Oryzias latipes: one gene and its partner. The protein of the gene in region 2 purifies or fractionates together with the protein of the main gene of each other region. This does not show direct contact. Links are inferred from orthologs where the notes say so. Each region holds a gene or a part of one and is shown on either strand. Other genes may lie near its edges.

The links.
Region 1: the proteins of pdhb (region 2) and pdhx purify together in Homo sapiens (affinity purification with mass spectrometry; 4 studies listed by BioGRID and IntAct, counting the BioPlex papers as one, with this or other methods). This does not show direct contact. The link is inferred for Oryzias latipes from reciprocal best matches to the Homo sapiens genes PDHB and PDHX.

What each region holds. Positions count from the first base shown.
Region 1 is NC_019864.2:22,875,172-22,879,573, reverse strand, and holds the start of pdhx (pyruvate dehydrogenase protein X component, mitochondrial), read right to left. Parts: upstream 3,111-4,402; 5' UTR 3,070-3,110; coding exon 2,934-3,069; intron 1-2,933. Other genes in the region: outer dense fiber protein 3, read right to left, coding at 3,681-3,776, 3,874-4,014, 4,102-4,202, 4,283-4,384.
Region 2 is NC_019863.2:1,306,768-1,309,875, forward strand, and holds part of pdhb (pyruvate dehydrogenase E1 component subunit beta, mitochondrial), read left to right. Parts: intron 1-755; coding exon 756-818; intron 819-891; coding exon 892-927; intron 928-2,651; coding exon 2,652-2,842; intron 2,843-2,946; coding exon 2,947-3,041; intron 3,042-3,108. UniProt on the Homo sapiens protein: The pyruvate dehydrogenase complex catalyzes the overall conversion of pyruvate to acetyl-CoA and CO(2), and thereby links the glycolytic pathway to the tricarboxylic cycle.

The DNA of each region.
Region 1 (4,402 bases), on a different chromosome or scaffold from region 2:
TCTATAGAAAACTGTGTTTATGTGCTCCACACTGTAATGCTGCCATCTGCTGAATATTTAGAACAAAGGTTGTATAACTCAAGTTAAGAATTCTTCAAGAATGTATTTTTTTATTGCTAAGAAAAGCTATTTCTATGTACTGACAGTAGAATTAATGTTAAGATTTTCCGATCTCTTTTGCTAAAAGTATATCTGCTAAAAACCTGCCAGGCATTTAGCTTGTAATACACAAAGTCTTTTTAAAAGATGACATGGGGAATTTATAATGTGCTTTTAATAATTTGGTATTACTTTTTCTTCTTTTCATTATTAACTTACTATGTTTCTCCTATTCTTCTATTATGTAAAAATAAAAAGAGTCACAACCAAATCCACAAAGCTTTAAATTCCATTTATGAAGCGCTTAAAATGCTTGTGGTATACCTTCCTTCCCATCTACTGTGAATAAGCAAACGTGCCCTGTTGTAACATTTTTTGACTTTAAAACAGTTTCTAGTTCATGCAGTGGTTACCCTTTTCTGTCAAACATGTTCTGATCAGAAAACACATATTAAAAGAGCTGATGACAAAATAAGTTTAGCTTTCAGGCAAAGAGAAAAACTAGAGCAACTTAGTCATTTATTGTATACTTTCAATAAAGTTAAAAACTAATTTATTATCAGTCGGCAACTTCAAAATATACTGATTCTGTGGAGAGCCCTGCTTAAACAGTGCTCATGTTCTCATATGGTTTTTGAATACATAAACAGTTTATCGTTACATACATGTTAGTTTTTAAGTGATGTCTTTCTTTATATATTTGCAGCTCAAACTTTGGACTTTTGGATTTTTTTTTAAGCCAATTACTCAATGACAGATTCTCCTGGATTTCCTTTAACTCTTCTGGTTTGACGGAAACGCCATTGTTAGTCAACTGAAGGTTACATCAGAGATATTCCGTCTCAATATGATGTCATTGTTTATGTTGGAAATAATACCTGCTCATCCCCGGCTCCAAGCTCTATGAGCAATCCTTTCATTAGTCAGATAAAGTTGGGATCCGTTGCCATGGTCCACCCACATACCAAAGCATGGCAGCATATTAACTATTACAGAATTGCTGGATAAACTACCCGAATAAGAAATGGATTCTGATTTTATGCAGCATACCCCCTCTAGGGCTGCACGATATGAGGAAAACTTGCGATATGCGATATTAGTGATCAATATTGCGATATAATTTGCGGTATATAAACAAATAGCAAAACAACCAAAAACATCATTTCCATTTCACTGCAACAGTTTAAAAATGATACTCCAAATGACCCTCGTCGCCGCAGGAGGCAAACATCAAACATAAAAGGGCTCATCTGATTGATCAACAATGTAAACGGGTCCTTCCGATTGGTTAAATGCATAAAGGGATTTAATTCATCTGTTCAATATTTCAAGCTGCCATGAGATTGTTTTAGCACATTTAAGGTAACCATTTATTGAGATTTCCGCCGTCTTTTGAGGTATGCATATTGCACAGCCTGATGTCGCGATAACGGTACATTTGCGGTATATTGTGCAGGCCTACCCCCCTCCCGTCTTTTGCCTTCTAAAGTCACACGAGAACAGAAGGAAGAGAAACACAAAGTCAAATGAATACATGCTGTTCCTGTAACAGTCTAATGGAAACATCGGGGTAAAGTTATCTAGTTTGATGAAGCTAACCAGTTGTTGGACTGGTTCTACTGTTGTATTCTAGACAACTGCAGTCACTGCCTCATTGTTTTTGTCCAAATAACTTCCAGAAAATCAAACTTTTTTTTTTTACCTTGAATTAAGGAAAAATCTAAATAAATTAAAAGCATTTGCTGTTGATATAGACGATCTTTGATATGTACGTGACTTTTGCTAAGGGAATATACATTTACACTCTTTTTCCATTATTCTGTTCACCACTTATTGCAGAAGCAATTCTGTCAACGATTAAGACTTTATGTTTTCTGGGGTTGGTCAAATTTAGCAATCCATGCGGAAAAAACAGGGACAAATGTTTAATCTCTGTTCTAGGTTGTGTTTTCCATTTCAACACCTGTTATTATAGACAGAATTTAAAAACAAAACTGAAGATGTCATGAAATGTGCTGCTGACCTCTTGTCCAAATCATTCTTGTAAAGGAGATCTTGATCTCAGCAGGTTCTTATCTGGCTAAATAAAATGTAACAGAGACACTTCATGCTTTTTAAGGAAGGCTCAAAATCTACTTTTTGAACTTGGCTTTTAACTATAACTTGAACATTTAAATAATAATAATGAATATTTTGTGTTTTAGCAGTTTGTTCTCATTTCTTATTCATGCTCAGTGCTTTTATTAGGTCATATGTGATTATACTAGTGTAGGTCAATTTTAAATGTATTTATGTATGTATTTGGAATATTTTGTATGTATTCATTCTTTTTACATTTACTTTTAACTCCAGTGTTTTGTTTTTCTCAGGGGGGTCCTTCACTCCATCGAATGTCTCTTCTCTGTAAACAGGGTCATTGCAGATCTGCTCTTTATGCTTTTTTCATTTTATAATATTTCACTATGGTGGGTGTGTAGGAGGTAGGGAGGGTGAGGGCATTCTTTTTTTCTATTATTATATTACATAGTTATTATTATTATTATTTTATTCTGTTTAGCACTTTTGTGTTGGGCTGTGAAAAAATACTTTATAAATAAAGTCTGTATTTGACCCTGCCTTTACAACAGTTTCTAATTCTTCACTTAAAGAAAACACAAAATATGTTTATAGTAAGTTTTCAACAGAGACTTCTGCATCCTTGTTCGTTTTGCAGTATATTCAAATAAATTACAAACTAGAAGAAATTACTAGTAAGTATCCCCCCCAAAGCAGCTACTGTTAGCTTATATGATCCGACACCGAATCTATTCCCGTGTCTTTCGGTTAACACTCACCAAGCGCCCATGGTGAATGAAAAAACTGTCGAACTCGGTCCTGGAAATAATGTGTGGGACATATTGATTTTTTAAATTGGTTGAATCTGAGCCCAAGCAGAGCTCCCTGACGACCCAGGCGCAAGGAGACCGCCATGTTGCTGTCCTCCCTCGTCCAGTCCGTAAATTCTGGCTTTGAGAATGCCTGATGATAAATTATCGTGAAAAAATGTGCACACATTTTGCGTTAAATCTTTTTTGTTGAAAAACTATTAAGATATAAATAGAAATTAAACATCTACTGGTGTGGTTATAAAAATTGAATATCAAGTGATTGGTTAAATAACTCATAATGAGCAGGCAACAAAGATTGTTCTTTAAAGGACCTTTCATTTTGGTTTTTCTTCGGGTGTCTTGGCAGCCGTCAAATCAGATTGCGAGAGCAATATTGCCCCCTATAGGATTGGAATGTGAATCAGTACTTGAACAGACAGAAATGCATCATTTTATTGAAGGTCTCTAAAAATCGTTCATATTATTACAAAACTGTATTTACTGTATCTTGTATGAAAAAGTAAAGCTATGGAAATGAAAGAAAACTGTCTATATCAAAGAGTTTAAACCTCTTTTTTGCTAAAGAGTCAAATTAACACTATGTTTTTTTATTAGATCAAATAAATTGTAACTAATTGCCAAATAATTACATGCTACATGAACAAAAGTACGCCCACATTTAGCCTTTTAAACTTTATTTCTAGCCGCTGTGCTTCATTCTTCGTCAGTTTTCCGGAACACAGGTAAGACGTATTCTGAATGATGCACTCCAAAGGTGAAGCATGGGGCGTTCCTTTTTGTAAGGGATTCCTGGTAAAAGAAAAGTAAGTGAATACACTTCAGATATTTAAAAGCACAATGCTCATATTTGGAACTATTCTGACTAAAATGGTTTCTTTTGTTTTACCCCTTTAGGATGGTACTGTGCTGGACCAGGTGTATTTGTTTTATCCAGGGGCATAAAGTTGCGACCTTGAAAACTGTAGTGGGGGGCTTTCTTCAAATAAGTGTCAGAATTCACAGCTTTGTATGCAGCTGGACCTGGATTCTGTTAAGCAGTTGCATGAGAAATATCAGAAAATCAGGATTTTGTTTGCATTCTCAAAGTAAATCCTTAGTGTATCAATCACCACACCTGATTCGGGTACCCGTATAAGTCTCCACTTTTAGTGCGTCCCTTCAGGGTGTAACTTGGTGCCTTGGGATTTTTCTCAAACAAATTGTAGGCTGCGGGCCCTGAATTATGACAAAGAGCAAGGAAATGTTTGTATTTCTAAAAGTAAAAGTTTCAAATGGTTAGTGGAAGGAAGGCCTGCCTGGGGTAACATCCTTCTTCTTTTCTGGATGTCTCCCAGCCAAAGAAAAGTCACGAACTCTCGGGAAGGTCACGTGTTCTGAGCGTTCTGGGCAGTATGTGCCTAAAACAGCAGCAGGAG
Region 2 (3,108 bases):
ACGGACGGATGTGGTGAACAGAATCCGGTAGCTTTCCAAAATAAAACCTCCCTCAGAATAGAAAAATTTCAGCTGTTTTGGTCATCTCTTAAAAAATGCTGACTTAGGAAAGCATTATTTTGTAAGTAGCTTTTTTGTAAATTTATTTATTTTTATGATGTTATTCCTTTAGAATTTGTCCATAATGTCATGTCTTTACTGTCTGACATTCATTTCAAAAAATCCGCTGTTCCTCAGTACTCAAATATCTCTCTTTACTCCTATTAAAATACGTTTTTGGATGGGGATGGTACTTCCAATTTTACTTTAGTCAAAATATACTGCAGTGCTTTTCTTACTAGCGTACACTTTTTGGGGACTCTACCAAACCTCTGATAATACAAAATATATCAGCGATTCCTAAACAAGCTTGAAAAAATGTTTAGCAACGTGTGATATTATCTGTTGTTTTCAATGTGAATCCTAGAAATCCAGCTCCTGACATTTGCTTTCACATGTGATCCTTTTGTGTTCTGGTTTGGAACTGAAAGTCCTTTGGAAGTAATACTGTAAGACGCTGCAGATAAAAAGTTTCGTATCACACTGTCTGAGCGGTGCAGACGGTTGTCAGCTGAGCGAAGCTTTTGGAGCTCAGTTTCCGTTTCTGCTGGGCGGGAGACTCCTAAAGATGAAAGTCTGGATGCTGTGCTCATACGGAAAACACAAGGCTGAAACGGTGAGCGTCTGATGTTCTTCTGTGTGTGTGTGTGTGTCAGGTTAGCAGAGGCTTGTGGAAGAAGTATGGAGACAAACGCATCATTGACACGCCTATCTCAGAGGTGAGTGTACTGATGGTGTCAGTGTGTCATGTGTGCGTTCTCGCCTCACACCTTGTGTATCTGTGTGCTGCAGATGGGCTTCGCTGGCATCGCAGTGGGAGCAGCCATGGTGAGTTTGGGTTGTGACTGCCGTTGATCTTTCGTCAGTTAAGTGTGGGTCTAGTAAACCAAACAGGAACACAGAAAAATGACCTCATCTCAAACTTACTTTGATCAATTCTAGTTTTTACAAAAACCAGTAAGGAACCCAAACTTTGTTTTTTGTGATTGCCCTGGGGCAGTTTTGATGCACTGGTCGCTCCACCACAGTGCCACCGTTCCCTGGACCCAGTGTGGACGTGTTGTGAGCACACAATGTGAGCGAGAACATCTCCATGTCATGTACCTGGTTATTCCAGTCTTACAATAACTAAATAACTACATATAAGAGCATTTGGATTGAGACGGAAACCTTCCAAACACGACAACAAAGAGACTTTCTGGTCTGAGTTTCTGCTTGAAATTCAGACGAAACAGTCCACGAGTTGCTCTAGAAAACCCACAACATCTCACAAATAACCTGCAAAACCTGCAACCTTAGGAATTTTTGCGGATGTAACGATGACCAAAAATGTAGTGACACAATTAAAGAACACAAACCGGTGCTCTTTTTAAGGTAGATGAGCCACGATTTAAAGGCTCAGAAATCTTTGCTAGGTTTGAATTAATCACAGGTGAGAGCCAAAGTCATCAACATTTAAAAGAAAAGTAGTCTTTAATTATGTGTAATGATTCGAAATATGAACTTTTTCACTATATACATATAAAGTATTTATGTCTCTGGTAGGCCTGCACAAAAAATCACAAATTTATTGTTAGTACAATATCAAGTTGTGCAATATGCATATTTTAAAAGTCTGTGAAAGTTGCAATAAATGGTTCCTTTAAATGTGCTAAAACAGTTTTATGGCAGCTTGAAGTATTAAACAAATCCAAATCCATTTACTAGTCAGATGGAGGCCTTTATATAATGGTAGATGCTTGCCTCCTTTGTAGACGAGGGTCATTTGGGGAGTCAAGTTATGTTGACTCTTAGTTTAATTCAACTGTTGCAGTGAAATGGAAATGATATTTTTGATAGTTTTGCTATATATTCATGTATTGATCACTACTATCGCAAATTGTGAGTTTTCCTCATATCCTGCAGCTCTGGACTCAGGTGTTCTTGTCCTGATTTAATTCATTATTCACACGGAAACTTTTGGCTCACTGTTTATCATCAAATCAATAGCAAATGTATTTATAAAAAGGCATTCTCATGCTTTACATGAGAATGCCCCCTCCCTCCCTCCCTCCCTCCACTGACACACACACACCATGACCCCACACACAATGAAAACACGCATGGCTGTAATTATGAAGGAAACTTTGATTGTAAGGAAACAGTATTTGGGGAATCGTGCCAGTTGCTGGCTCAGCCATCGCCACAACGCCCACCCAGGTCGGTTTCCACTCCACAGCTGTGAGGCTGTGAGGGTGATCACCACGGCAACAACCACAGACCAGGCTGGCAGCCCCACAGGGGAAAAACAGTTCAAAGACATCAAACGTGTTTGAATACATCAGAAAATTAGATCAAATACTTAAAATAATAAAATTGGAATAAATAATCAGGTAAGAGTATCTGAAGCTGTGTCTTGAGCTTCTTCCTAAATGATGCCTGAGGTTCTCCTGCAGTCAGAGGACCTCAGCGTCCGCTCATGCTTTAAAGGAAGATCATTGAGATAAAATGAGCCAGACCATTACAACCCTCCTCCTGCAGCTAAGCCTGGTGTCTGTGTCTGATCTCCTTAGGCCGGTCTGAGACCCATTTGTGAGTTCATGACCTTTAACTTCTCCATGCAAGCCATCGATCAGGTGATCAACTCTGCGGCAAAGACCTACTACATGTCAGCCGGGCAGCAGCCAGTCCCCATCGTCTTCAGAGGACCCAACGGGGCCTCAGCCGGCGTGGCGGCACAGCACTCGCAGTGCTTTGCTGCCTGGTGAGTTTCTCTGCCTTCTTGTAGGAATATCTTTGCATCCTGATCATTTCTGCCATCAGGGGGCTCAAATCCTCGTGCCTGAGTGTCGGTGTGTTTATCTGCAGGTACGCTCACTGTCCGGGTCTGAAGGTTGTCAGTCCATGGAACTCTGAAGATGCTAGAGGTCTCCTGAAATCAGCCATCAGAGATGACAACCCTGGTGAGCCGCTGTCACAGCTTCAAGCAGCAGCAGCAGCAGCACATCAGCAGTCTGCTTTAAGGCCAGA